Diceros bicornis minor: one gene and its partners. The protein of the gene in region 2 interacts with the protein of the main gene of each other region in a biochemical or structural test. Links are inferred from orthologs where the notes say so. Each region holds a gene or a part of one and is shown on either strand. Other genes may lie near its edges.

Region 1 (7,232 bases), on a different chromosome or scaffold from region 2:
ATTAGCAGGTGCCCTCCCACATGGTTTTCTCACTGATTTGAAAAGCTACCTTGATTGTACGTTAAATCCTTACAGGGGTGATGTTCAAAATAGTTACCAATTGGTATGGTGCAGGCACTGACCAGCCTGTAAGGATGCCCACCCAGAGCAGCTGGGACAGACGAGTCACATACTGGCTGGATATCGGCAGGAGTTCTTGTGTTTGCTGGGGGCTGTTTCTTTACTTTCTGTTATTTTCCATCGCTCTGGGCCAGTCCACGTTGTTTTCATTCTGGAGCCCAGATATGTTTTGTTTTCTCTCTCATCACTCTTGTTTCTGACTGTTCTCAAATGTTTATTCTTCCAGATGAACTATTCCACCATTTTGTCAATTCCCATGAAGTTCCATCAGAATTTAACGTTACATTTAGGTATTTAAAATGTTCTTTTGCTAATGTGATGGGGAATTTTCCATCGAGTTTTTCTAATGCATATAAAGTGTTTAGCACAATGCCTGTCCCATAGCGAGTGCTCAATAATGTAAGCATTTATAAGTACTGAATATTGTTAGCATGTCTGAAAGTTCTTGTTTTTTCTATATATTTACTTTATAATTGGCCACCTTGCTGAAGTTCTAATTCTAGGGTTGTTTTTTTTTTTAATTTGAGTCTTTGGGGCTGTCTTTATTTCTGATCAAAGGATTTGTTTTCTTCTGTTAACAATGGGATTCGTTTTCTTTCTAAAGCAAAGCGTTGCAGACTCTTCTATAAAATGCCCTTGTATGAGCCCCATCTGGACGTTCCCTGGTGTTTGGGCTGTGCCTGACCATGCCGCTCATGCTCAGCTCCAGCGTTAGAGACCTTCCTTCCACCGTGCAGAACTCTATTGTACTGAGCTCTTCCGACAGGCTGTGGACAGATCTCCTTCAGCCAGACAGCCCCTTCAGAGACCTAAAGACACACACAGCCACACACACTTTCAAGTCCTTCTTCTCCAAAAAAAGGAAAGTGTGATTCTTCTGCATGCTGGCCCGACAGTTACCAGGTGCCTCGCTTCCTGAAGCGCTCTCAGGACTGCAGGTGAGGCCTAACTGCCACACAGCGATGGGACCATTCATTCTTCTGAATGCAATTCTACCTTTTAGTGAATCCCACCGAGGATATCCCAGAACTCTTTCATGTCACTTTTTCTTCACTTGTAAAATTAATTTTACTAGACCTATATGCAGCATTTTCCCTGCATTTCTCTTGATTATTGAACACTTTAAATAACCCTGTTCCTTAATTTTTATCATTTAAATGTGACTCAGTCACTGATCCTGTTTCACCTTATACGAAAATTGATGAGGGTACCACTTCCATCATCAGCCAGGTCACTAGTGGTAATTTTCTTCAGCTGTGTCTTTTGTTTTAAAATTCTGCAATTCACTATTCATTTGCTTCAAAGTTAAGCTTAGGACAGGCATTTCTACCCACAACGCCTACGGTTTTCTTTTTTGTCACTGCCGTTGAGTCAATTCTGACTCCTAGCGACTCTCTGGACAGCCAAGCTCAACTCTGCCCCGTCTTTCTGAGCCAGGCTCTTACTTTCCAGAGCTCTATCAGACAATGCTCCACTGCTATTCATAGCGTTCTCATGGCCAATTTTTTTCAGAAATGGGTAGCTAGGTCGTTCTTCCTAGTCTGTCTTAGTCTGGAAGCTCCACTGAAACCTGCCCACCAAGTGTGAGCCTGCTGATAGTTGAAATACCGGTGGCATAGCTTTCAGCATCACAGCAACATGCAGCCACTACAGTATGACAACCGACAGACAGGTGGTGTGGTTCCACGATTGGGAAACAAACCCAGACGGAGGGAGGGAGAGCACCAGATCTTAACCACTAGACCACCACAAAGTTTTCTAATCATTACTTATTTTTTCAAGATATTTAACATATTACAAAACTGTGCATTTTCATTTTGAAAATTGTATTTTTATCCACATAGCTACATTTTTTCCTCCAAAAGTCACTGATCAAGAACGACAGTACAACTAATCTCTGCTCATTTCTAGAAGGAAAGGCCCTCAAAGTAAGCAATCACACACATCTGCCAACATCCCACAGCCTGACTTTATCACCGATACTCCCGCAGGCTTCAGCTCTGTTTGCCTCTGGGATTATTCTAAGATTGATAAGTAAACTGAGCTACTTTCTGATTTTCTTTTAAGTTTTGGAGAGTTGAAAGAAAAAAATTCAAAAATTCCACATTACAAAACAAATAAAAGGACATAAAACCACAAAGGAGCGATTTTCATTAAAACAGAAATACTGTTTCTTTTCCCCCTGGAAAAAGCATCTGGGCCATAACACTAAGTTAACAAGCGATGAAGATTTATCAGCGTCTTTTTTCCTTGATGTGAGAATGAGTATTGAGGGTGTCAGTGAGGGAGGGTGTCTCCCTCCTTTAATCCAGCAGGTAATTTCAGATAACCTTGTCACCTCTGGCAATTTCTCCATCGATTTTTCTTCTTCTTTCATGACCAAGTTCTCAAGATAGGTAATACTCCTGTTCCCTCTGACATCCCTGTATATCTTCGTATGTAGTTCAGTGTAATTCTGTCTCCTGGTTCTTGTTACCAAAGCCTGAGAAATAAGGACATTTTGGTATTTGAGGAAAAAAACAATCCCTTGGATGCAGTTCTTAAATGATCTACCTGATTCTGCTTTCTAGAAAAGATGCTGCTTTAGTTAAGCACCAACATATTTAACAGACTTTGGTTATTAAGATCTCAAGCTTTCTGAGCAGTGTTCACCATTTTTGGTTGTGAAACATGCTGAGAGGTTTCAAAGTATCCTGCATGATATAAGGTTTCATGGAAGCAAATTAATTGTAGATCTCTTTTAATTTAAACTATAGATTCCATATAGCACTTTATGAAAGGAAGTGTTTTATCAACAAAACAACGATGAAACGCTGCAATTTGAATACCATTGTTTTAGTCTTTCCTTCCATCGAGACTGGATCCGCCAAGAACTGCCAACAGGTGTATTCCCATGCAGGTCTGAGCACGCAGGACAGGCTATCATCAGCAGCATTTAGTTTCTGGAGGGCACCCGTGGGAATCACGAACCCTGTGGCTCCCATGCACGGGCACACTTTGTCTCACTTGGTGAACACACGGGATTCTGAAAAACACTATGGGCACGGAGGCTGAAAAGTTGTCACTCTTCTGCGGGACACATGGGGTCCTTTAGCGCGGCGCAGACCACCCCACCGGCAGCCTCAAAAGGCTGGGCACTCGGGCCAGCAAGGACCTCGGAGCACCAAGGACCCAGGTGAAATCACAGGGCGAGCCCATCACCTCCTCCGCCCAACCCTGGATTCGCAGCCCCGGCAGCCACGGCGGCCTCGCCTCAGGCGGCCCAGGACCATTCCCATCAGCGCAGGCGCGCTGGTTCCGTCCCACGCCCCCTCGCCCCGGAGGCCGCGTTCCCGCCGCGGGGCAGGGCGGGGCCCAAGAGCCTGCGCACTCGTCCTCCGCACGGCCCCTGCGTCTCCGGGCGCACGCAGCATCACGTGACCGCTGCCAGTACCCAAGATGGAGGCCGCAGCCAGGCCTGACCGGCTTCCCGCTTCAGCCCGCGCCGCGGCGTGCGCCCGCCAGGCACGCGGTCCTGAGCCCTAGGGTGGTGGGGGGCAGCTCTTCGAGGGCGGTCGAGGGGCACTTGCCAGGGCCAAAGGCCGTATTTACAATCACTACTCGCTCGAGCTCCCCGTGCTTTCTCAACCGCGAAGCGCCCAGTGGCTGGCGCCTTGAGCGTCGTTTAGTACCCCCGCCCTGGGGATTGGCAGCTTCGGCAGCCAATGGGGCCCAAGACATGTGCGGGTAGGCGGGCGGGGGTGGAGCATCCTTGCCGTCCGTAGAGCGTCCGGTCTGGCGGTTGGCCGCCGCGGGACGAGGGGCGGGAGCAGACGGGGCTGTACCTGGTGTCCCAGAAGACCAATGGGAGGACGGCCGGGCGCCCGGGGAGGGCGGGCGGCGGGCGGGGCCGAGCCGTAATTGACGACTTCTTCATTAGAAACCAGGCAGGAGGGAGGGGCTCGCGAGGGGAGGTGATGCAAGGCCACCGCAGCCAATGGCTGCAGCGCCGCTGGAGGGAGGGCGGGGCCGGCGCGGCTGACGGGCGTCGCGGGTGGCCTATCAGCGCCCGGCTCGGTGGTGGCGGGGGGGAGCAGCATCATGGTTCAACGTGGGTCAATTTTTTGTGAATGAGGAGGGGAGGTTGTGGGGCCGCCGCCGCGGAGCACCGTCCCCGCCGCCGCCCGCGCCCGAGCCCGCGCGCCCGCCCGCCGCCCGCCCGCCCGCGCCGCCGCCTCAGCCGCCTGGGCCCGGCGCGCCGCGGCCGCGTCCCCGCTGTCGCCGCCGCCCGAGCGCCCGCCGCCCGCCCGCCGCCGGGGTGGTGGTGGTGGCGGCGCAGGCTGAGGAGATGCGGCTCGGAGCGCCCGCGCGGGGCTAGAGCGCCCGCCGCCGCCGCCGCCCGCCGCCGCGGTAAGCGCAGCCCCGGCCCGGCCGCGGGCCATTGTCCGCCCCCCTCCGCCCGCCGCAGGCCGCCGCTCCACGCCCCCCGCCCGCAGCCGCCCGGCCCCGGCAGGTGGACGCCCGGCTCCGCGCCCCCGGCCCGGCCCGTGCGCCCAGGCCGCGCGCGCCCAGCGCTGGGGCTCTCCGGAGCGGGAGCCGAGCCCGCCTGGACCTCCCCTGCAGCCCAGACAGAACGAGGGCCGCCGCCAGGCGGGGGGCGCACGCCGCCCCGCGCCCGCCGTCCAGGCCGAGCCCTCGGCAGGTGGGCCGGGGGCCCCGGAGCCCGCCGCGCCGTTTATGTAACTTTGTCACGCCTGTGAGTTTGCAGAAAAACGTCCCTCCCGGGCCCGCGGCGTGGGGTGCGCCGTCCGCCGGCGGGTGCGCCCCCGGCCCGTCGCGGGAGGGGTGGGGTCTGTCCACGACCCGGAGGGGGTCCCCGCAGGATCTCCACGGGCCGAGACGTGGCTCCGTCCTGCCCGGAGGATGGGAGCGGCGTTTCCCGGCATTGCAAACACACACCACGGCATTATAAGCAAATTATCTCGTATTTACATTGAACGTTGAATTATTTGACACTGTTATAGCAGGAGACTGTGCGTATCAGTCGGAAAGGCCGGGGGTGGAACCCAGTGTACTCATTTAATGCACATCAAAAATTTGTAATAACTTGCAGCCGCTGATATGAGTGTTTTCTTTATTGCATGTTGTAAATTGACCTGCTGTGACACAATTTTCAAATAAAGCGTGGCAGAAATTAAACTTAAGTTATTTTAAAACTAATGACTTTCTTAACTAAATCCTAATTGCATTACTGTAGAGACCTATGTAATTGCTTGCTGAGAGCAGCTCTGCCTGCCCTCAGTGGGGGAGGACCGGGCCTGTTACTTTGCTTCCCCGCGTTACTCCGGCTTTTTTGTTTATTCCCACAAACCATCTAAGCATGGAAGGCCTGGGAGTAAACATGTAAACAGCCCTCGCCCAGCGCCTGCCCAGCAGGATTGAGGGAATACTGGTGGGTTTGCTCCTTGGCCTGGTTTCACTTTTTCTTTTGTAATACGATCATGGTTGCCTGGAGTTTTAATTGCTTCTGATAATTCGGTGCATTATTTGAGAGACCGTCCTGTGAAAGCTGGTGTGGTGGCTTCAGAATCTAGCCACGAGAGGTGGTGGTGGTGATTGGGGAGAGCGAGAGAGATTGAATTAAGAAAACTCAGCTGCTTGTACACAAATATACTCTACAGCAATTACAAAGCAACAAAAGTTATTGCAGAATTTTGCAGTAACTATGGCAACACAATTACTCTATTATAATTGGGAATGCAAAATGCCACCCTGTTAGAAGTTTCATCAGGATGGAATTTTGGATATCAAAAAGATGTGAGATTTAATTTTTTTTCAGGTAGCTCCTGAGAATTCTACAATCTGTGTTCCATTATCTATTTTTAATTCTGATCAAGCTTTCCCAGATATTCCACTCCCTGGGATCTGTGGCATCTTTCCCCAGAACTCACATTTGTGTGGGAGGGAAGTATTTTCCTGCCTTAAAAACACACACCCTGACACATTGTAAGACTTCTCTAGCTTTCTGTCTTCTGGACTTTTATTTTAAAGATCAAATACCTTCCTAAAGAGAGCAGTAATCAATCAGAAAAGAAGCAGGATTTTTGCGGCAGGCAGATGTAACACTGCCCTCTTTAGGGTTAGTTCTTTCTCCTGCAAGGGGAGCTGGCAGCATGAGTGCCCCTGGGGGAGCCCTGGGGCCGGGGTGGGGGCTGGGGGATGGATGACTGTGGTCTGCACGGAGGCCTGGAAGGCCTAGGGACCAAGGACAGATGTGGCCTAAGCAGCCCTGAGCCAAGAGAGAATGTTCTGTGGTCAGCAGCTTCGCAGCCATGCAAAATAAAAATCTCCAAATGTTGTGCTCTCAGAGGCCTTGGGGGCTGTAACTGTAGCAAGATGGACAGAACAACATGGCACCGTGGCCATGTGCAGCTGGAGCGGCAGATCTTGACTTTCAGTAGTCAGAAACCTGCTTTATACGGATGGCCCTCTTGATGTTTACCAGGAGGACTCGAGTTCTGGAAGTTTCCACACATCGTGGGGTTGCTGCAGTTTAATTTCATTATAACTCTTTCTTTTTAACTACTGCATATTTATGCCCAGTAATCGACTTCCATTTTCCAGCTTCATTGTGAGGTTTCAATGCTGCATGAATGGCTTTGAATTCTCATCCTTTGATGTTGGGGGTGGCACCAGAGGAAAGGGACTTTGTGCCGTCTTAACTGCTGGAGCAGAAGAAACATGTCATGACTCCTGTAGAATTCGTCCATACCATTCGTTCTCTATTGAAAACGGCTGGGCTTTCATGGCTCAGAAGCTGCTATGAGTAATAGATTAATACCTGATGTAGGGAGTGAGGGAGAGGCAGCGAATGAGAGGGGATACATGCCTGTCCAGCCTCCGTGGAAGCTTCGGATTTTGCCCTCGTTCTGCAGCCTGAGAAGCTGGGCCTGAGCTCCTGCTGTTCCAGCCGGAGGGCGAGTCCCTCCCCGTTGGTTGCAGCCCCCTCCTTGGGCCTGGGGTGGAGGGCAGGGGTCGAGTTTGGAGGGGGTTTTGTTTCAGTCTCAGATGGTCAGCATATGCTGTGGTGTGCAGTGGGCTCAGGGCTCTTGGCTTTGACCTTAGAGGAAGGT
Region 2 (7,128 bases):
GACTCTCCTCCCTCAATGAGCCACTCTGTTTCCTTTAAACTACATAGCATTTTGTTCATAACCATCCTTTGAGAATTATATATTATTTGTTTGTGTATTTCTCATGTGCACTCACAAATTACTGGAGGACAAAATCTACGGTTCTCAGCTTTGTTCTTCCCCATACTGCTTAGCACAGTGCCTTGCACATACTAAGCTCTCAAATACAGCCACCAACTTGAAGATGGGCTTTCCCAGGTTTTTTTATAGGTTGGGCATTAAGTCACAACTAGTCTCTCAAGCCATTTTACTAATATAAATATTTTATTTATGCCTCAGTGTCTCAGATTAGTCAAGTTAAACTCTTCTATCTCACTTGGTGTAAAAAAATTATCCTAATTTTAAGGGTTCTCTCCTACTGAAATGCCGTATATGAAAGGTCTACCCCAATATACCTGGTCTCTCTTCCAAGTCATTTATCAACTAAGCAAAACTCTCTTCCACTTACGCTGTCATAAAAACTAAAATTTATAAGAGCCACAAAATAAAACAAATAGTCCTTTGGCTCAGAGTTAACTTGCTAGAGAACAGGAAAAATTTTATGGTAATTCCTAATTGCTGCAGGGTAACTAAGAAACTTTAAAATAATAACAACACAAAAAGAGACTGAAATATGCGATGACAGCCCCCAAAAGCAATACATATACAGAAAAGCTTCTCATTAATGTATGGAATTCTTATAAGTCTTCCCTTGATAATAGAGTCTATGTTGTCAACAACCATTACCATATGCTATCGAAGGCTACTGTCACTTCCAAGTTGGCAAATTTCTTGAATACAAGCAATTCAGTTCAAAAGCTTTTATAAGTGCCTCCTCTATGCCAGGCAGGGAGTGGAAGCTAAGATGTAGATGAATACACCATACAGTCTTGCCTTCATAAAGCAAATAATCTCAATAGAGTTTTCTCCACTTAGTACACACTCTCTGCATTGCTTTCTTTGCCCCTTTACCTGATATCTCCATCAGCCATGATTTTGTGCAGATCACCAGTTATTTGTATTGGAAAAACAGGTTAAAGAAGTTTAAAAAAAAATTTCCTGCCCCATGAATCTCATGGGGCAAGGAAGAGACAGCTGGAAGGAAAAGAGGCATTTTCCCTTCTATTCCCTCGTGAAAAATCACCAATCGAGCATGCTTGTCCTTCAAAGCCCCCCTAAAATACAAGGAACACGTCAAACATCAGTAGGCCTCTTGTAAAACTGGCACTTAAAAAAGGCAACTGCATCAGATATTTCCTATTTTATTGCTAGAAAAGACTCTTTGCAGTATTAAAACACTTCAAAACACTCCAGGAGATAATGCTGGTATTTAAATTTTAAAAACTTATTTTACTGATCAAAAGATCCATGCAATGACAAAGCTAAAAATGTTCTCTCTCACTAATAAGGGTGAATCACAGCAGGCACCTACTCCACCCAACAGCCACCCTTGCTAAAACTGGACAGTTCAAAACCTGGAAAGCTTTCCTTGCCTGCTCCACACGAGAAATGAATTCAACACATTAGAGTTTACGTATAGCTATGTAATAGCAAGGAAATGTTAATAAATACTGAAATTTACCAGGACACTTTGTTCTTCAGACTTAGCTGCGCCTTTTCCACATTTACCAAACTCTCCCCCGTTATTAACAGGGAAAAAACTCAACAAATACTCTTACTTGAAAAATGCAGGATCTGTTCTATTTTCGAAGTAAATCTCCATTAGTTTGGGAGGAAAATCTACGGCATATACTGTCTCTGTGGAAAAGGTGCCTGCCTGCACTTTTTTTCAACTCAAGCCTATGAACTGATGAAATATATTTAAGGGGTCCCCAGATCTCCTCGGTAAGCCTAAAAACGATTTTCAGTCTTGCACAAATCTACTTGGATATTTCAAAGTTATATTGTGTGGCAGCAACGCAGCATCTGGGGAAAGATCTATTTACCCCTGAAAATGCAGCTTGTTAGGTCTCAAGAACTGAAATAACTCATTAAGGAGGCCAAGGCGAACCTTCCCAGACCCTTTCCGTCGGCAGACGATTAGGCAAGCCCCGGCCCACATTTCTTCCCTGCTCCCACGAAATTCTCCACGAAAGCCTCACACAAAAGGGCCTCCGCACGCCGAGGCACTTCCCCGGCTCCCGCCGCCCGGCGAGAGCGGACTCACCAGGACCGTGGTGCAGATGGACCTCAGCTCGGACTCCACTTTCTCCCGATAGTCCTTAATCAGCTGCAACTTCTTGTCGGAGGTGTCAGTCTTCTGCTCGATGCTCGAGATGACCCTCCAGGCGGACCGGCGGCCCCCGACCACGTTCTTGTAGGCCACCGAGAGCAGGTTGCGCTCCTCGTTGGACAGCTCGGCGCCCTGCTCCGTCACGGCCTTCATGCAGGTGGCCATGTCGTCGTAGCGCTCGGCCTGCTCGGCCAGCTTCGCCTTCTGGATCAGCTCGGTCTTCTCCATGGGGACGGGAGAGGAGAGCGAGGGCGAGCACCGACCCGGATCGGAGGAGGCGTGCGGAGGGCCTGCGGGCGGCGGACACAGGGCGGGGGCGGCGCCGTCAGACAATGCGCCCGCCGCCCCTTTTGTCTGTCCCCGCACGCGCGGCCCAGTTGAATTTCCCTCCCCCGCCCACGCTCCCGCCCGGCGCCCAGGAGGCCGAGGGGCGCCCGCGGAGGCGGCCCGCGGCGGGCGAAGGAGGAGGGGGAGGAGGAAGAGCCGCTCCCGCGCCCGCCCGCCCAAGATGGAAGCGGCCGTTGGCCCGCACCTTCCCGCCGGAGCCGTCCCTGAGGAGAGCGGCGTCGAGGCCGGCCGCTCCCGGGGGCTGGCCTCCCGCCCGGCCCTCAGGCCTGGCCAGACCGGAGGAGGGCCGGAGGCGGCCCTGGCGCTCACCTTCACGTCTCCGCGGCCGCGGCACGAGTCCCACCACTTTGATCCGCTTTTGGCTTTAGCGGAGGACCCTCCCGTCTCAGCCTACCCCAGAGCCGAGGGGCGGGCCTCCGCGCAGCTGCCCTCTCTCCCGCCGCCCAATGACACGCCGAGCTTCCCCCTAGAGTCCCGCCTCCCGCCCCGCCGCTGGCCAATGATAACTGAGCGCGCGGAAGGGGGCCAGGGAGGCGGGGCGGGAGGGGAAGTGGAGGCTAGGAGGGTGGGTCGGCTCGGGCAAGTTCGGTTGGCCAGCAGGCTGCGGCTTCGGCCACGGGGTTTCCTCCAATTAGATCCAGGGTAAAAGGACGTCACTGTTGCCATGGCGATGCTGTTACCAACTCCCCTCATCCTCCCGCCACCCCCAGCACTTGTGGGTGCGGCACCGGAGCGGGAGGCTCGCACCACCTCTCCTGCGGCGGCTGCGTCTCTTGCTGCAGCACCGCTGCAGATGGTGCATTGCATCTTTGGGTCAATGCAGCTGCGGCTCTAGTCGGCCTGGTGGGGCCGGGCCTGGGAGGGTGACACAATCGGTTGTTTTGTTGCACAAGGGCCTTTCTTTCCTCCACCTTCCTATTCGTGACAAAGGTTTGGAGCTCAGTACCTTGAACCCAGCCTTTAATGACGTTGCGATTGCGGCTGCGAATTAGAAATAATCTCATCCCCATTAAAGAGGAATTAGTTCCTGGAGAAAGTGGCTTAAATATGGCTTTTACATGATAAATTCAAGTTTTCAGATGGGCACCTAAAACCTGAAATTCCCTTGTAGAATTCCCAAGGAAGTCCAGGCAGGTCTCTCCGGCAATGCCAGTTATTATGATTTTCTTTAAAATGAGAAATGACATTAGGGATAATTTGGTGAAAAAACTACCATTAACTCCATCCCCCCAAAAAGCAACTGTTTTTATATTTCTTTCCAGCCTTTCCAGGTTATGCATCTAAATATGTATTTTTTCACATCGTTGTCGTATGTGTACATGCTTTTTAATTTCTGGTATTGTTTTTGAAAGGTCGCTTGAAAAGCTAAACTTCTCTCCCTAGATGTTGACTTCTGACATTCTCCTCCTAGCGAACGAACACCCGTCTGAAGTTAGGCAGATGGCCTCAGACGTCTTTTATGTCTTTTACTCAGGGTCATTGACAGACTTTCCTTTCTCTTGAAACTAGGCACTCCCTTCCTGCCACTCCCTTCTCTTCTGGCACTTCCCCGGTGCCCTACTCCAAATAAGGTCCTGGGTGTCTGGAAAGTGGCCTTTGTGCCATCTTAAGATGAAAATTGCCATCTGGGTTCATGTTACCATGATTCCAGTTTCAGCACGTCCAAGGGAGAATGGATCATTGAAAGACAAAGAATGCCACAGCCGAGAAAGAATTTCAACTTCCAAGTGGAGACTGGAGCAGATCTGGAGAATCTCTAGAATGGAAGAGTGCAGACAGATGGCAGGAGAAGGTGCAGACTTTCCAGAAATCTAAACTCCCTCCCAGCTATCCCTCCCTGTCCTGACTTGTAAAGGTTGCTTTGTGCTTTGACAGACAGGAGAGGCCTGGGTTGGAAAGGGCCTGTCTCTTGATGCAGAAATGCCTTACTATGTTCCAGTGTTCTAATGGAGGGCCCTGCTGTTATTTCTGGAATCCCTGGGGCCAGGCTGCAGACACACGAGTGTTTATGGCCATGTGGGCTGGGGTGGAGCCGGACACCAAGAAATCCCAATGGAAAGAATTTGCATGTGGAAGGTCAGATAAAATGCTTTCTGTATGACAAAATTTCAAGCTTACTGAAATTAGATACAGCCGAGGCAAGGAGAGGAATCAGTGGAGGTGGATGGGGGCCGGAGACCCTTGAGGGGAATTGCCAGGGGACCTGAGCTCTGTGGTAAGGAGGGAGGGAAGGGGCAAGCACACTAACTGTTTGTCAGAAAGTCTGGGCCAGACTGCCATCTCCCCTGGTGACCTTGGGCAAGTTTTTGCTGCTCTCTGTAACTCAGTCTCTAAAATTCCTGCTTTCGTTCAATCGTCAAAGATTTATTGAGCAGCAATTCATATAGTTAGGATCATATGGGATCATGGGTAAGAACTGCTTCGAAACAATGGCACACTATGAAATCATAAAGTATTTTATGAGAGACCAAAGGGATACGTGCATATGTAAAGGCTTCTGCACCTGAAAGAAGTAAGGTTGGAGAAAATTAAAGCTCTGGGAACTTGAAGTCCCTGGACATGTAAAGCCCTGACATTTATTGAGTGATTACGTGTGTCAAACACTTTTTTAAGTCTTGCAAGTATTAACTCAATGTGCTTAATGCCACCATGAAGTAAGAACTTGGAGGCACAGGGAAGTTAAGTATTATGCGCAGGGTCACACAGCTTGTGAGTGGCAGAGCCTGGATATGGACCCATGCACACCATGTGTGTGCTGAAGCCCATCCTCGTAAGCACTCTGCCAGAGCTTTGCTCTGTGCTGTAGGGATTCTAGGAAAAATCAGGCTAGTCTCGTCCTCTAGGAGTTCCCTCCTAGTAAACACGAAACGTGTTAAACATCCACATCCAACGTGCTGAGAAGAACTCTAGGGAGCAGACAGCTAACAAAGAAAGTACTGAGAATTTATTACTTTATTTGTTTGATGTTCTTGTTATTTTTTCTAAATTACTTGCTGAGAAGAAGCTGCTGCAGCAGGAGGGAGCACACTGAACTTGAAGCCAGAAGATCCTAAATCCCAGCCCTGCCATTTGTTTGAGGTTTGACCTTGGACACTGTGATCCTCTCTGGACCTCAGTTTCCTAACCAGTAAAAATAATCCCTACCTGAAAGGGTTGTTGTGGAGCTGTCACATAAGAAAATACTGGGCTGGCAGCAAGTGTTCAGTAAATGTTAGTTTTTCTCCTTCTTTCGCTCTGTTCCGGGGTGGGGTGCAGGGGGCTGGAGGGAGATGCCTGAGCTTTGTAAAACTGCTAGTGAAGGCTTATCTCTTGAAGCACATTGTAGTTAGTGGAGTCAATGGTCTGCAGAATGGCTACTTTCAGTGTACATTTCAGAATGAACGAGTCTTCCTGGTTGAGTTTACTCGCACAAATTGTTTCCATGGTTTGTTTGCCCAGAGCAGTGGGTCTTCTGAGAGGAACTTCTTCCTCTCCAGCCATATGGCAGATATTTTACTGACATGCAAACATTTGAGTGGGACTTTTCACTGTAAATTCCCATATAATCATTATCAATACTTCTGTTTCGTGGGTCGTTGAAGAGTTGCCCCCAGTATCCACTCCCCCGGAGGTGCTAAATGAGATTCACCTAAAGCCAGGATGGGTGGGGGAAATTGAGGGAGCCTGGTCAGGGAAGTCCTTCTCCACATTCCCTGGCTCAGGGCTGGGGTCGGGCCTATAGCATTCAGCCTCTCATCAGGCCTCAGCAGGCAAGGTTGGTTCATGCCGTCTGCAGGCATCTCTCTCTCCTCGTGGTTGCCCCATTTCTGGCATCTCCAGAACACCCCTTGGCCACACATTTTCCAGCTTTCACTGTGTGCACTCAGGGAAAAATCTAATCAAATCATTCTGTCATGAAAAACATCAGAAAGTCTTCAAACAATATTTCTTCTGCCATGATTTGCATTTAAGAGAAAAGAAAGCTCTTACATTTGAAGAATAAAACTAGATTTCAGGCATTCTGAACCAGCTTTTGGTCAGCCGGCCTCTTGGGGAAGGGCTCCAGCTTTCCGACATTTCTCCAGCATTTCCTATGTGCCAGGCAATAGAGTATTTTAAAAAATGCTTGATTGCTTTTGTAATGATGATAGTGATGATGATAATGTTAATAAAAAATGTAATAGCACTCATTATACAAAAAAATGAAACAATACGTAAATATACAAGGGAGAGTAAAAAGAATCTGAGAGCCTGCCTCTAAGAGGTGACCTCTGTTAGCATTTTAGTGGTCCTTCTAGATATATCCTTTTTCATTTGGACATATGTATGTGGTTTTACATGCATGAGATTGCATTCTTTGTTCAGTGTGATGGTTGATTTTGTGTGTCAGCTTGGCTGGGCCACATGGTGCACAGGTATTTGATCAAACATTATTCTGGGTGTTTCTGTGAGGGTGTTTTTGGGAGAGATTAATATTTAAATTGGTGGACTTTGAGTAAGCAGATTGCCATCCATAATGTGGATGGGCCACATCCAATCAGTTGAAGGCC
Region 3 (7,879 bases), on a different chromosome or scaffold from region 2:
CCACGAGGTATATACCGCCCATGTCCACTGCCCTGCTCTTAGCTGAGCTGCCCCTCTGCTGGGCAGCAGACCCCCGTCTCCCACTCAAGGACATCTCTCCGGCAAGTCTCCCCTCTCTCCTGCAACATCCCGTATTTCCCTCGCTCCTGGATTACTCCCATCAGCTTATAAACATGTTATTTTCTTTTCCCTTTCTATCTTAAAAAAAAAAACACAACACTTCCTTGCCTCGCCTCGGGCCTTCAGCTGCCGCCCACCCCTTGGCTCCTCGATACCGGAGGACAGCTGCTGAGAGCGGGCTCTCTCCTGTCTCCAGCTCTCTTCCCATTGTCCCTCCCCACTGAGGTCAGCCTTCCGCCGCCTCCCCACCATTGCGGTGGCCCCAAGTTGTCAACGTCAGCGCCCCATTCCCAGCCCTCCTCCAGTGAGCGGCCCTCCCAGGAGCATCGTGGGTCCAGAGCCCCACTCCTTACGAGCCCCATACGCCTCCCTGGGCCCTGCATGCTCTGGGTTTCCCTCCCACCCCGCTGCTCCCTCCTTCTCAGTCCCCAGGGCCGGCTCCTCCTCTTCTGCTGCCCTCTGAAGGCTGGAGCCCCCGGCTCAGTCCAGGTCCCCTCCTGTCCACACTGGCTCCCTGGGCCTCACAGAACAGGCCGTCGGTGACTAACAACTCCCACGTGCACGAATCCTGCCTGGACCCATCCCTACTAGAAATCTCCACCTGGATGCCAAAAAGGCACCTCTAAGCTGACCTGGCCCAGCTGGGCTCCTGATTGTCCCCCCATATCTCAGTTCCATCTCAGGAGCAAGCCCGTCCTTCCAGGCGTCCAGGCCAGATTCCTCGCAGCATCCTCGACTCCTCTTTCCCTCACCCTCACATCCAGTCCGGCAGCAAATCCTGCTCTACCTTCAGAATAAACCCCGAGTCCAGCTACTTACCACTTGCAATGCCACCGCCCTGGCACAAGCCACCATCCTCCCTCGCAGGGACTCGGGCGCAGGCTGCGGCCCCACTGCTGCTTTTGCCCATTGCAGACTCAACACAGGGGCCCTGGGGATTCTCTTGATGCCAAAATCAGATCACCCCGCAGCTGCTCAAAGCCCTCCCATGTTTTCACTCAAAGTAAAGCCAAAGTCCTTACCTTGGCCTTCAAAGCCTTGCCTGGCTGCCCCTCCCCCTCCATTAACTCGATGCATCTCCAGCTCCCAGCCCCTCCCCTCACTGGCCTGGACCGGTGAATCCTGCCCCCAGGGCCTTTGCATGCACCCTTCCCGCCCCACAGATACCTGCGTGGCTCACCCCTCATCCCTTCCAGCCTTTGCTCGAACGTTGCCTCTTACCGAGGCAACCCTGACCACCTCAGCTGAAGTCACTCCCCCAGGCCCGGTACTCCGAATTCAAAAGAGACAGGCAAGACTGTTTGGCGCACTGCCCCCGGCTGTCATCTTCTAATGCACTCTATCATTTTCTTCTTGTTTATGGCTTGCCTCCCCTAACCCCAGGACAGGGTAGGCTCCACGAGGGCAAGGATTTTTATCTCATCTGTCACTGATGTACCCCTGGAAGCTGGGAGACTACGTGGCACCTATTAAGCACTTGATACAGAGGATGGGGAGGAACAGCCAGGTGGGAGGTGGAAAGCTTTTTCAAGCAGAAAAACAGCAAGTGCAAAGATCTGGAAGTTAAAGCCGGTGGAGTTCCGTCTGACAGGGCGTGTGGCGGAGGGCTGGGGAGGAGGCTTTAGTAAGCCTTCTTGCTCCCGAAAATGAAAGGGGTCATGTAGGTTTCAGCACGCGAGGGATGTGATTTTTGTTTTCAGATCTCTGTGGTTGTTCCAGGTGCCAAGGCCAGTGCTGGGCACTGAGAAGGTGGGACCACTGAGAAATGGCCACTGCCCTCCTGTGCCCGTCCTCCCATCTCTCGGCGCTGGGCCGCCCTCAGTGGGCGTGGAGGGAGGCCTGTGCTTCCCCACCCCTACAGTAACCCACTGACCGGGCGGGCTGTCTGCCTCTTGAGGTCACCTGCCCCTGGCAACGGGCAAGGATAGCCCCGGTGTGGGTGTGACCACAGGGCGGGAAGGAACATACCTGGGGACTAGAAGGCCCATCCCAGAGAAAGCACGCAGCCTGGGGCAGAGCGCTGATGGAGCCTTCCAGCCCCGCTTCTTACGAAAGGAAATGCCAAGCAAGTGTGACCTTAGGCAAGTAACTTCCCTTTTCTGGCTCCCTGCCTGCCTCTCAGATTTCTGTCCTGGTCCTAACAGCTACATTCTTTGAGCATTCATTAAGCACCAGCACTATAATTAAGTGCTTCCTGTATACTCCTGCTATTCATCCCAACAGCCCTACAATGGTGGTGATTAATTTCTCTGTTTTACAGCAGAGGAAACAGAGGCGCACAGAGGTTAGGGACTTACTCAAAGCCACCCTATGAGTGTGGATGCGGCTGGGGTGCAGGAGGTCCTGGGCTGGGGGCAAGGGGGTGTGCCTACCTCCATGGTGGCTGCTGCTGGCCGGCTGCTCCTGCTGGTGACCGGCTTCCCCCAGGAGGCCTGGGGCCGTGCGCTGGTGCCTGACCAGGCCTGAGGGCCGGTCCCCCGTGGGGCTGGGGCCCAGGCCCCTATCTGCAGGGCTGGAGTCTTCTTGCTCACTCTGCTCAAACTCTGGGATCTGGAACATGCTCTGGGCTGTAGGGGCAAGATGGTGCGTGGCTAGGGGCAAACGGTGGCCGGCGGGGGAGGTGGGGGGGTAAGGGTAGGCACCCCTGACCCCCTCTCCCACCTTAGAGCCCCAGGTCTGCCCTGCCTCCCAGGCCCCCATCTGTCCACTGAGTGTGGGCCGGGCAGGAAGCTCAGATTGTCCACCCAGGACCCAAATCTCCTCGGGGAGCCCTGGAGCGGTGGAGCAGCCCCAGGCCCCTACCCAGGCCCCGGCCTGACCCGCCCGTGGTGACGGCACCCAGGTCTCACCCCAAGCCCGATCTGGAGGCCCTTGACCCGAGCCCGCCACCGCCGCCGCCGCCGCCTCCCTCTAGTACTGAGGGAGCCCAGCCCGAGTTGCCTGGGCAACGGAAACTGTCACAGACCCGGCCCAATCAGCTCTCGATATGTCACTAGGGCGGGCCAGGAGGCGGGGCCGCTCCCGGCCCGGCCCCGCCCCCCCCGCCGGACCCGCTCTCCGCCGCCCGCCTTCCTGCCTGGGTCCACTCCTCGTCTCCGGACGCTCGGCTCCCGGCTTTCTCGTGCCCTGGGCGTGTGTGGGAGCAGAGGAGGGATTCTCTGGGGTCCCCACCGGGAACCTGGAGACCAGCTTCTGGTGACAAGTCCTTCCGCCCCTCTGGCCTCAGTTCCTACCCCTGTAGAATGGGGATAATGACACCTCCCTCAGGAGCCACTGATCATTGTAAACCGTGTGTGAAAGCACTTTGCAAAGCCGTCATTGAAGCTTGGCCGCCGGCTGCAACTGTCGTCGCTGTTGTCACTGCCCCGTCTGGATGGGTGGCCGGGTCGGGAAGTCCCGCGCCCTCCTCCTCCCCACAGTGGAAACCTCGCAGCGCCCGCATCGGGCACCACTCCCCGCGCCATCGCGGGAGCGCTCGAGATAAGCGAGCAGTCTCCTGCCTGGCGGGATGGCTGCCCCGGCGCAGGAGAGCGGACAGGGCCCCCTGGGAGGGTGACCGTAGGACTCGCGGGGTCTTCGCGCCTGGCAGGCGGCCGCCCAGGTGAGCGGGAGCCGCTGCCGGCCAGGGCGTGGGGCGGCGGGCCGCTTGGGGACAGCGGGGACAGCGGGTGAGGCCCAGGGGGCGGGGCCCGGAGGCCATCTTGGCTGTGGGCGGAAGTTTCCTTCAGGAACCGGGTGAGGGGAAGTCGTTGCCGCCCTCAGCCGGGCGGAGCGATCTCGGCTTGGCTATGGGGAAGAGAAGCATGGGAACTGGCGGCCCCTCAAACAAGCAAGGGCCGGTGGCCCCGGGCACGGCCCCCCCAGGCGCCCGCCGGATGCGGCGCGGCCCCAGCGTCTCGGCCGCCTGCAGCCTCTCGTAACCCCTGGCGTCCGCCGGCGGCGCAGCTGCGCCAATTCTCAAACGGCTCCGCGCCGGGCGCGGCGCCGGACTGCGGAGCCCGGGCCAGACCCTGCGCAATTTGCGTAGCGACCGGCGCCCGCGCAGGCGCAGGAGGGGGCGGAGCAGCGGGAGCCGGGGAGCTGGAGCCCCGGGTCCCAGCGACCGGAGCCGGCTCCCCCAGCGGCGGCCTGAGGACCCGGCGTCCGCCTCCTCGGGTCCCCCGCGGCTGGAGGGTGGACGCAGTGGGGGTGGGGTGGAGGCAGCGTCCGGAATCCCGAGGACGGAAGGCAGAGGCCCTCCCCATCCGGATCATTGGAGGGGAGAGATCTCCCCAGTTTGGGGAGGGGGAGAGCCGGGCGTTGAACGCCCCCCGCAGCGGCCGCTGCCCTGAGCCCACGGGCATCGGCCGGCTCTCCCCCTCCTGCCGGGACGACTCGAGCGACCAAGGCCAGGGACCTCTCTCCTTCAGCCTCTGCAGTCCCCTACCCCGGCTCTGGGGTGGTGCAGGGGAGACACCCCCCACCCACCTCCTCTACCCTGGAGAGGAGAGACTGCCCTTCCACGCCCCGAGTGAGGGGCGCAGGCTCCAGGCTGCCCGTGCCCCGCTGCAAGGGCGAGGGCCCCTCTGTGGAGGGGGAAGGGCCTGGTGAGCCGCAACTTCTTTCCTCGCGAGCGCCCCATCTCCATCTCTGTACCCTGCAGCTCCCACCCCTCCGTATTTATTTCCCTGGCCCCCTGCCAGCCCCTCCATCTCTGTCTCCGGGATTCAGGCCTCCCTCCCTGACATGGAGAGTAACCTATCTGGCCCGGTGCCTGCTGCTGGGCTGGTGCCTGCCCTGCCACCTGCTGTGACCCTGGGGCTGACCGCGGCCTACACCACGCTGTACGCCCTTCTCTTCTTCTCCGTCTATGCCCAGCTCTGGCTGGTGCTGCTCTATGGGCACAAGCGTCTCAGCTACCAGACGGTGTTCCTGGCACTCTGTTTGCTTTGGGCTGCCTTGCGTACCACCCTCTTCTCCTTCTACTTCCGAGACACCCCCCGTGCCAACCGCCTGGGGCCTCTCCCCTTCTGGCTTCTCTACTGCTGCCCTGTCTGCCTGCAGTTCTTCACGCTGACCCTCATGAACCTCTACTTTGCCCAGGTAACTGTGGTCCCGGGTGGGGGTGGGTGGTGGTGGGGCAAGCCCCAGAGGCCCAAAGGAATGATGGGCGTCTCTGCTCCCAGGTGGTGTTCAAGGCCAAGGCGAAGCGTCGGCCAGAGATGAGCCGAGGCTTGTGAGTACTCGGGACACTGGTGGGCTCAGCCCTCAGGCCAGGGAGCAGCCCGGTGTCCATTCCTTCCTCCCTTGCAGGGCTGAGGCAAGGACCACCCCAGGAGTGTTTGTGAAAAAGCTTGGAAAAGTAGGGCTCCTGGGGTGGATGGCTGAGCAGAGGCGTAGCATAGGTCAAGAAAAATTATAATAGAAACAGTCGTGAGTGAGGGGAGAGGGTACCAGTGTCACCCATGATGGAGGAAGAGTGGGAGGCTTCAGCCCAAGCCAGACTGCACTTCTGGGTGACCTTGCGTGGCGATATCCTGTCATTTGTATAACGTCTTCCAGTTTATGACGAGCTTTCACAAACATCTTTAATTTTTACAACTTACCCCTGAGGCTCTTACTATCGCCATTTGAGAGATGTAGAAACTGAGGGCCTGCAAGGTAAAGCAGCATGTTCAAGGTCGTAGACCTGGCAGAGAGCAGAGCCAGGGCTGAAACCCAGACTTCTGACTCTCAGTCCGGTGCTCTCTCCACTCGACCACAGCTGTCGGTCACCATCTGATCTCTTTGGGTCTCAGTTTCCCCATCTAAAACTGGAGGGGCAGTCTTCGGACTGGATTGGTCTGGATTGGTTCTGACTGACCAGGGTCTTCTGTGGGAGGTGGGGTGATTGAGCGCCCAGGGCTGGGGCTGACTGTGCTGTGGGCCGCAGGCTGGCCGTCCGAGGGGCCTTCGTGGGGGCCTCGCTGCTCTTTCTGCTGGTGAATGTGCTGTGTGCCGTGCTGTCCCGCCGGCGCCGGGCACAGCCCTGGGCCCTCCTGCTGGTGCGAGTCCTGGTGAGCGACTCCCTCTTTGTCATCTGCGCGCTCTCTCTGGCCGCCTGCCTCTGCCTTGTCGCCCGGCGGGCCCCCTCCACCAGCATCTACCTGGAGGCCAAGGTAGGGCCACAAGCCCTGATGCCTGGGTATCCTTTGGGGGTCTTTGGGCAGTGGTCTTCAGGGTAGAGAGGAAGCTAGAGCCTCCCCTCCCTGTTGTCATCTGTGCCAGGGGACCAGTGTGTGCCAGGCAGCCGTGATGGGTGGCGCCATGGTCCTGCTCTATGCCAGCCGGGCCTGCTACAACCTGGCGGCCCTGGCCTTGGCCCCCCGGAGCCGGCTGGATGCCTTTGATTACGACTGGTACAACGTCTCCGACCAGGTGGGCATTCGGCACGTCTGCCGCCTCCTTAGTAGCTGTGGCTCCTGGTCCCCAGCTGGCCTGGGCCCTATCTGGGTGCCCCATAGCACGACTGCGGACTGACACAAGCCCCTGCCTTCCCACAGGCGGACCTGGTGAATGACCTGGGGAACAAGGGCTACCTGGTGTTTGGCCTCATCCTCTTTGTGTGGGAGCTGCTGCCCACCACACTGCTGGTGGGCTTCTTCCGGGTACACCGGCCCCCGCAGGACCTGGTGAGGGCTGTGGAGAGGGGTGGACATGGAATCCTGGGCTGGGGTCTAAAGGGTTTGTGGGAGGCCAGTGAGGGCAGGAGAAAGCATCAATGGTGGCTTCCTCCCCAGAGCACCAGCCGCATCCTCAACGGGCAGGTCTTTGGCTCCCGTTCCTACTTCTTCGACCGGGCTGGGCACTGCGAGGACGAGGGCTGCTCCTGGGAGCACAGCCGGGGCGAGAGCACCAGGTAGGAGCCCCGGCCCTGCCTCAGACCCCTGGGCTCCCGGCTTGCTCCATCAAGCTATGGGGACCTAGTCCTGGGTCTTGCCACCCATCCACCTGCCTGGCCCGCCGTGCTCTTTGATTCCCGTCTGTACTAGATGAGGTCTCCATCTCTCGCCCCGAGATGCAGTTTGCATCCTGGAGGTCTCGGTCATTGGTTTCTGTTCTGAGGCTCTCTCCCTCCCCCAGCTCTTGTGAATGTGGCCCTGGTCACTGCCCTGGGACTGACGGTGTTTCTCTGCCTGCAGCATGTCAGGCAGCCTAGGCTCCGGCAGCTGGTACGGCGCCATCGGGCGGGAGCCAGGCTGGTGCGGGGGCAGCCAGACGCGGACCACTCCTCTGCTCTTCTCCCAGGTGCTGGGACCAGGCGGCCACCACCACAGTCTCTACTCCACCCCACAGACGTGATCCCCTTCTGTTTCCCCCCAGAACACCCAGACCCCAGTCCTCCTACCCCAGGCCCCTGTGCCAAGTTCACCTGCCGCTTCTTGCCCAGGATCCTGGGGGCTGTGGCTGCCTCTTCCCCTGGCCGGCTGCTTGCTACTCTTGTTGTAGTGAGCTTATGCCGTCCCCTAGGATGGGAGGCATGGCCCTGGTTGCCAGATGCCCACAGCGCCTTGGCATGACCTGCTGCCTCCGCTTCTACACTGGAGCCAGCGACCTCTCCTGCACCTGCCACTCAATAAACAGTGTCTGTGCCCCGCGTCCATTCACTGTCTGTCGGTTGTCCGCTGTGTGTTCCTTGCTTCGTCACCTGTTTAGCTGAAGGCTGATCAGACACCTGCCCTTGAAGGGGGCTGCTGGGCAGGGAGAGGGAGGAGCCTGCCTTCTCAGGGGAAGGAAGAGC
Region 4 (6,891 bases), on a different chromosome or scaffold from region 2:
GAACAGGATGACAATGTATGCAGGCACTGCCCCGGACCAAGTTATCAAACAGCAGCTTACACTCCCAAATGGTTCACCGATTACCGCTAGCATGAAATCCATGGTGTGCACCGAGTTCCTACTACGCGCTCAGCAGTATGCTGGGCATGTAGGGAAGAGAGGAAATCAATGCACACATCACAAGAAAAAGACCATGGTGGGAATACATTTACATTTAGTAAACAGCACAAAGAAACCACACTGAGGCAGTCTGTTACTCCACTTTGCTGAACACAATGCCCCCCACGGGCTCGCTGAGAGAGTAGGCACTCCACTCCAAGCCACTCCCCAAATGCCTGAGGGTGCCAGTCAGTCACTTGGCCTCCTCCTACCAGCTCACAATCAACAGTCTGGGAAAGTTCTCTGGTCAGGCAGGGTTCACTTGCTAAAACAAAGGTTGTGATGGGAAAAGGAATGGCACAGGCAACGTCAAGAGGGCCTGGAGAAAGCGGTTCCCGGTAAGGAGAGAAACAGCTGGCAAGCGAGGGAAAGCCTGTGGGATACAGACCATGCTCCTGTTTCCAAAGACCTCAGGCCCCTGCAGAACCAGCTGCCAAACCCAGTGATGAAATGGAAATCACCCATCCCTCCCTCTCAGCCCGTTTCAACCCCACAAGCAATCAATCCGTCAGTAATGAAAGGGTCAACCACTGCAGAGAGAAACTCAGTCCAGAACCACTGCAGAGAGAAACTCAGTCCAGAACTCCTCTTGAGTGTCTGACTGCCCAGGGGACACAGAGCCGGGGGTAACAAAAGAAAAGAACGTAGCAAAAATGAAAAGAGGGAAGATTTTTCAGAAAAGGTTAACATGCAAGAGACTATAACGACGGTTCTATTGGGCTCCGAAGAACTAAGGGAACAAAAGGAAAGCAGCAAGGATGTAAGGAGGGAAAAGGATGCAAAAAGCACTGCAGCCCCAGGGGAGAAGAGCTCCTTTTTCGAGTCAAGTTTTTTTGGCCTAGTAAAGTTCTCCACCAAGAAGGGCGTGACAGGCAGGGGACTCTCCACAGAGCAGTCAGCAAGGGACACTGGAGATGGTGAAACAAAGGGGAGAGGTGGAAGTGGATGCCTCTCAGCTCAGAGGTGAGATGACAGAGAAAAGGCTAAGGCTTGGGTGACAAATGACGGCAGTGATTGCCAGGATGAGAGGGAGCGTGTAGCTCAAGAAACGAGCATGCAAAATGCCTGGGCCCAGGAGTTACAAAGACTAGCCAATGGGAAGGGGATGGAGAGGGGCATATGTGGGGAAATAAACACGGTGTGAAGAAGGCAGGAGACTAATACCGAGATGAAAGGCAATCCTGATTAAGAAACACAGTAAGGATTATGAAGTGAGGGTAAAGAAACCGGAAGACAACAAGCAAGGAGGAAGATACTATGAAAAGTGACGGATCCGGGAGTGAAGCGACAGGAAGGCATGGTTTGTGCTGTGATGTAAGAAAACAGAAAGGCAAGGGCGGTGATGCAGCGAGGCCCGGGAGAGGACTAAGCAACAGGTTGTGTTAACGGAGTGGGGCTGAAATAGTGTCTTTCCCTCGGTAGGAAGAGCCCGGGGAGAAGGCTGGTAAGGCACCCACAGGGAGAAACAGGAGGCCAAGAGACTTAAAAGCCAAACTCTGGGGGGAAGAGAACGCGAGGGATCCGAGGACTTTGAAGGGAGTGACGACTGGAACCCCAGAGACAACCTGTGGGAAAACTATGCGCATGACAGCTGTATGGGAAACACGGAAGCAACAAATGCCAGCGCGAGGCACCAGGGAGCTCCTGGAGAGAAGAAGGGAAAGTGATGAGCACAGAGTAGGCGAGCGATTGGGAAAGGTGATGAGGGTAGAGCTGGTGGGTTGCAAGCAGGAGGGAGAGCGCAATTTGGAGAGGGCAGAAGCAGGGTAAAAAAGAGGAGGAACTGGAAGGGGACAGGGTTCAGGGATCGAGAACACACTCCGGGGAAGGACCCTGAGGGTGATAACCAGGGACTGGGAGAACCGGTGCGGGCGGAGGGGGAGCAAGGCGAGAGAGATGGAGGAAGGGGTGGACGACGATCTGGGGCACACCGCGGAGTGCTCTTCGAGGAGTGGGAGGGTGGCTGCTTTAAGCGTGGGTGGAGAAAGACCAAAAAGGCCCCCGAGAGAAAAAGGGAAGAGAAGGGGAAGCTGGGGAGGTAACACGGAAGAGCGCAGGAGGGCGGTGAGGGCAGAAGGGGGGTCGGCAGGAAGACAAGTGTGCAGCTTGGAGTCTGGACGAGGTGGGTCCCAAGACCGGACTCGGAGGGGGATGTGCGGGGCCGAGAGCCAGATGACAGGGCAGCCGCGGCTTGCAGGGTGGCAGCAGGGCACGAGGAGAGCAGAGGAGGGAGGAGGCTCCGCAAGGTGCAGGGGCCCAGCCAGAGAATCCGGGGAGCCCTCGGGGCTCCTTACCTGCTCCGTGTCCCTCTCGTTCAGCGTGGGTAGGGGGGTCCGGGCGCTGGACATGGCGCCGGTATCTCAGGGGAGGGAACCGAGAAGCTTGGAGGAAGGGAGGGAAGGGAAGGCGCGGAGCCCGGCCGGGCGGGGCTTCTCACAGCAGGGGCACCCGCCGCATGGGCCCCGGCCGGGGGTGCGGGGAGGCCGGGCAGCCGCTCACGCCAGCCCGGGGATGCGCCGCTCGGGCTAGGCCGCGCCGGCTCCGAGCGGCTCCGGACCGCACCCCCCCGACCCCCGGCTGGGCTGTGCCGCCTTTCGGCCGGGCCGCGCCGCTCCGCCTACTCTCTGCCGCCGCAGCCGGCCGCCCGCCTCGCTCCTCCCCTGCCCTCAGCGGCACTGCTCCGCGCCCGGCACACAGGCAGCCGCCGCCGGACCTGCTGCTCCCAACATGGCCGCCACCACCGCCGGCCCTCGGCTCTTTCCGCCGGCAGCAGCCGGAAACATCCGAAGCGGCTAGGAACGGGAGGGGGGCGCGCCTCCTCCTCCCGGCCACGGACTACGGGTGAATTCCGGAAACACCCGAAGAAGGTAACCCCTGGGGACGCGCGCGCCTCCTTGATGCCGAAGACCGAGTTTCGGCTCTGTTTACGGAAATCCACGAAGCCACCCCGGGTACTCCAGCCACGCCCACAGGCCTTTCCCCGCCCGCTTCAAGCTGGCGCTCGGCAGTTTCCGGAAACACCCGAAGAGGCTCTGCGAGCCGTGAGCCGGCCACGCCCCCGTCCCGCTCCGCTGCCGACGGCTGTCGTCGGCCATTTCCGGCAACACCCGAGGCCTGGCGAGCCCCGGGTCATTCCCTCAGGAGGTATCCAGAATCTGACTCTTCGTTTCTTTCCGTCAGTTTTCGGATATTTTCAAATCTTGAAAGGGAGCGTGGATCACCTGTGCTTGTTATTATTTGACTAAATAGAAAATAAGGCTGTCAGCGGTCCTTGCGATTGGCATCCTTCGGTTTTAAAGCAACTTCCCTTCTCCGCGTCCGTTCGTCCGTCTGTTGGTCAGCTCATAAAATCCATCTCGTTTGTCACCCAACCTGTCTATCAACATATGTCACCCGTCAAATGCAGTGTTAGCCTATTGTCTGTCTACTATCATTCATCCCCTGCCATCGTCTGTCTTGGCTTCTATTTATCTACCCATACACCCACATCAAGTCCGCAGGGCACCTCAAGGACCTGGGCAGACACTTGGTCAGCGTCCTTGGCTCCCAGCTGCGGGAGGCTGCAGAAGTCTCCCCAGCCCTGCATCCCAAGCCCAGTTCTGTGGACTGAAAATGCTGTGTGACCTTGGAAAAATCACGTAACATCTCTGAGTGCAGGCTCCTTGACCTCCCTATACTGAGAGAATCCGTGCCTTTGTTCCAGGGATGACATTCTAAATAACATCTTTAAATTCCAGTGACCTTTTAATTTCAAAAAAAATCTTTTAATTGTTCAAAATAGCACAAAATGACATCACACTGTGGTAATGTTGAGTCACACCAGTTACCTTTTTAAATACCCCTGTAAGGTAAGGCAGGAGAGAAATTCTCATCTTAATTCACATTTCAGTTATCCCTTCTAAGACAAGAAAACTCGTGGAAAAAGAGAGAGAAACTAGTTGACGATGAGGATGCCTCAGGATGGCACAAAGAATGGGCACCTGGAGAAGTTCCTTTCCTTCCCTGGGCCTCAGTTTCCCCATCAATAAAGCGAGGTCGCTGGATTCATGAGCTCTCAGGTCCCTCTCATTTTTGCAGAGCTCCTGACTAACAGGAAGTCCATGTGGCAAACTGAGCCCACTCTTCACTCCCCCTAGACTGTCTCATTGGGAGAGGCTGATCTGATTCCTCTGGCTCCAAGGGGCTCCCACCCATCAGATCCAGACATGTTGGAATTTGCCCTTGTCCCCCGCCTCCCAGGGCTCAACAGCAGCTTCAGGTGGGCAGAAGCCAGAGTCCCCCCAGAAGACAGAGACCAGGCTCAAGCATCAAGTCCCCAAAAAGGTACAGGAGCAGAGAGGCCCCAGGGATTGCGAGAAAAAGTGCTGGCTGGACCTCGGATGCTTCACTTCCAACTCCCAGCTACAGTTTCTAGAGCAGAGCCCTCGGCCAAGTCACCCAGAGAAATAGGCAGCCGGACAGACGCAAGGAGATAATGATATGAAAGTACTTCCTGAGGCGACAGGTACCACCTACAGACCTAGTAAATATCCGGGACTCTAGGACAACTCCCCATGCCCTGCCCCAGCTCCATCCAGGCACCCAGCCGTTGATGAAGGAACACAGGAGGAGGTGAGGACAAATAAGAGGAAGAGGTGAGGACAGGGGACATTCCACTCCCCAACCCCAAATTCTTCTCTGAAAATCCATGAGAATGATCTGCCCTCTGGTGGCCAAAGGGAGACACACTGCTGAGTCCTGTGTCCGGTGTCACCTCCAAGGGTCTGGAAAGAAGGAAGAAGGGGAAGAGGTTGGAGGAGCAGAGGAAGGTGTGCTCGGGGGTCTGCCAGGGCCCAGGTTCTCGTCTCAGCAAACTCTACCTTCTCCATCCTTGTCCTCGCTCGTGTTCTCACCCCTGCCCTCTGACCTTTAGCCCCCACCCCCACCCCACCTGTCCCCTCGTCTTCCTCACAAGGCTGCCTAACTGGTCTCCCTGCCTGGACTTCCTCCGACGTACTCCACCAGACAGGCCAGAATAATCTTCCTAAAGTCCAGCTCTAATTACATCTCTGCCTGCTGGAAGGTTCTCACCAGCTTCCTTGAGGGACAGGCAGGGCTGGCTCCATGGGCCTAGGACCTGTGCAGTCACACAAAGCCCTACTCTTAGAAGGGCTTTGAGTTTGATGTAATGCTCTGCTGTCATCCTCTTGTAATTTTCATCAAGGGGGCCCTGCCTTTTCATTGTGCGCTGGGCCCCAGACATTTCGTAACCAGTCCTGGAGGTAAAAAAAGCCTTTAGCCTGCATTGGAAGCTTTGCACAATCTGGCCCCAACTTAGCTTGCTAATATCCTCTCCAACTCAGCACTGCTGGTTGACACCTCCCCCCAGCTGCAGCCCGGCCACCAGGCTCTCTCACCTCCATGCTTTTGTTCAGGCTGATCAATGGCCAGTCACCTACCTCAGCTTCCGGACGTACTTCAAGATTCAGTTCAGATGTCACCTTCTCCAATCCCGGAGCCTTCCTAGTTCTCCTTAAAGATTAATTATCACTGCACATTTACCCCCCTCCAATCTGCATATTCATTCATTCACAAATCTCTATTGAGGACCTACTATGTGCAAGGCACTCTTCTAGGTGTATCAGTGAACAAAACAAAGATCTCTGCCCTTGGGGAACTTACAACTGCGAGAAGACAGACAACAGACGTAATAGTATTAAGTGTCATGGAAATAAAATAGAGCCAGCTAAGGTGGGTCAGGGTTGCTGGGGTGAGGGGGTAGAGGTGAAAGACTAAGGTGGTTAGTGTAGGCCTCACTGAGAAGGTGACACTTGAGCAGACTTGAAGGAGGTGAGGGAGTGAGCTCTGTGGATATCTGGGAGGAGAGCATTCTAGGCAGAGGGGATGGCCTGTGCAAAGGCCCTGAGGCAGGAGCGGGCCTGGCTGTTTAAAGAACAAGAAGGCCAAGGAGACTGGAGCAGAGTGAGGGGCTGAGTAGTGGAGAGGGCAGAAAGGGGATGTGGAGCTAGGCCACAGCTTTGGCTTTCCCTTGGAGTGAGATGAGGAGCCGCTGCAGGGACATGATCTGATGGGCTGCTGAGTTGAGAACAGAGCGAAGGGGCAGGGCAGGAACAGAAGCCTGGAGACCAGGAAGGAGGCTTTTACATAATTCAAGTGAGAGATGACAGTGGCTTGGGGTGGGGCAGCAGCAGTGGAAGCAGTGAGAAGGAGAAGGATTTGGGATATATCTGGAAGGTAGAGCTGACAGGATTTCTCGATGGATTGGCTTAGGGGGTCTGGGAGAGAAGTTAAGGATAATTCCAAGCTTTCCAACCTGAACACTAAAGACAAAACAAACACAAGAGTAAAGGCAGCTACCACAGGCCCTAGACCAGGTGGACACCAGCCAATAGGAGCCGTGCTCCAGGGCGGCCGTGATGCCCCCTGGGATCCCGGAAGGCAGAGGTTACGGGATTCCCAGCTCTGGCAGGGGAGCAATCCCCCTACATGCATGAGCTGTGAGGAAAGAAGTAAGAAGAGGTAAGAGTGCTGGAGTGGAAGACATCCTTGTTCTCATCCCTCCAAAACACTGCAACTCATCTTCACCTTTCTCCCTCCGACCGGAGGAGCCAGAGAGGATGCGCATTCCAGGCAGGCCACTCTGGGAGGTGCAGGATTGCCTCAGAATTGCCCTCTGATCAAGAGTCAGAAGCCGGGGGTGAAGCAAGACCCACCCACGCCCTCTGACTCGCC

What was found.
Region 1: the proteins of YWHAQ (region 2) and HDAC4 are reported together in a solved structure, tested with the Homo sapiens proteins (2 studies listed by BioGRID, with this or other methods). The link is inferred for Diceros bicornis minor from reciprocal best matches to the Homo sapiens genes YWHAQ and HDAC4.
Region 3: the proteins of YWHAQ (region 2) and BAD form a complex in vitro, tested with the Homo sapiens proteins (2 studies listed by BioGRID). The link is inferred for Diceros bicornis minor from reciprocal best matches to the Homo sapiens genes YWHAQ and BAD.
Region 4: the proteins of YWHAQ (region 2) and MARK2 form a complex in vitro, tested with the Homo sapiens proteins (2 studies listed by BioGRID, with this or other methods). The link is inferred for Diceros bicornis minor from reciprocal best matches to the Homo sapiens genes YWHAQ and MARK2.

What each region holds. Positions count from the first base shown.
Region 1 is NC_080776.1:26,625,868-26,633,099, reverse strand, and holds the start of HDAC4 (histone deacetylase 4), read left to right. Parts: upstream 1-4,224; 5' UTR 4,225-4,509; intron 4,510-7,232. UniProt on the Homo sapiens protein: Responsible for the deacetylation of lysine residues on the N-terminal part of the core histones (H2A, H2B, H3 and H4).
Region 2 is NC_080751.1:70,440,958-70,448,085, reverse strand, and holds the start of YWHAQ (14-3-3 protein theta), read right to left. Parts: upstream 3,005-7,128; 5' UTR 2,909-3,004; intron 2,809-2,908; exon of another isoform or gene 2,784-2,808; intron 2,542-2,783; 5' UTR 2,480-2,541; coding exon 2,186-2,479; intron 1-2,185. UniProt on the Homo sapiens protein: Adapter protein implicated in the regulation of a large spectrum of both general and specialized signaling pathways. Binds to a large number of partners, usually by recognition of a phosphoserine or phosphothreonine motif.
Region 3 is NC_080770.1:8,706,950-8,714,828, reverse strand, and holds the start of BAD (bcl2-associated agonist of cell death), read right to left. Parts: upstream 3,020-7,879; 5' UTR 2,970-3,019; intron 2,688-2,969; 5' UTR 2,680-2,687; coding exon 2,493-2,679; intron 1,111-2,492; exon of another isoform or gene 1,031-1,110; coding exon of another isoform or gene 940-1,030; intron 1-939. Other genes in the region: integral membrane protein GPR137, read left to right, coding at 4,846-5,202, 5,286-5,335, 6,032-6,257, 6,367-6,516, 6,642-6,770, 6,879-6,997, 7,387-7,798. UniProt on the Homo sapiens protein: Promotes cell death. Successfully competes for the binding to Bcl-X(L), Bcl-2 and Bcl-W, thereby affecting the level of heterodimerization of these proteins with BAX. Can reverse the death repressor activity of Bcl-X(L), but not that of Bcl-2.
Region 4 is NC_080770.1:9,074,018-9,080,908, forward strand, and holds the start of MARK2 (serine/threonine-protein kinase MARK2), read right to left. Parts: upstream 3,015-6,891; 5' UTR 2,508-3,014; coding exon 2,454-2,507; intron 1-2,453. UniProt on the Homo sapiens protein: Serine/threonine-protein kinase. Involved in cell polarity and microtubule dynamics regulation. Phosphorylates CRTC2/TORC2, DCX, HDAC7, KIF13B, MAP2, MAP4 and RAB11FIP2. Phosphorylates the microtubule-associated protein MAPT/TAU.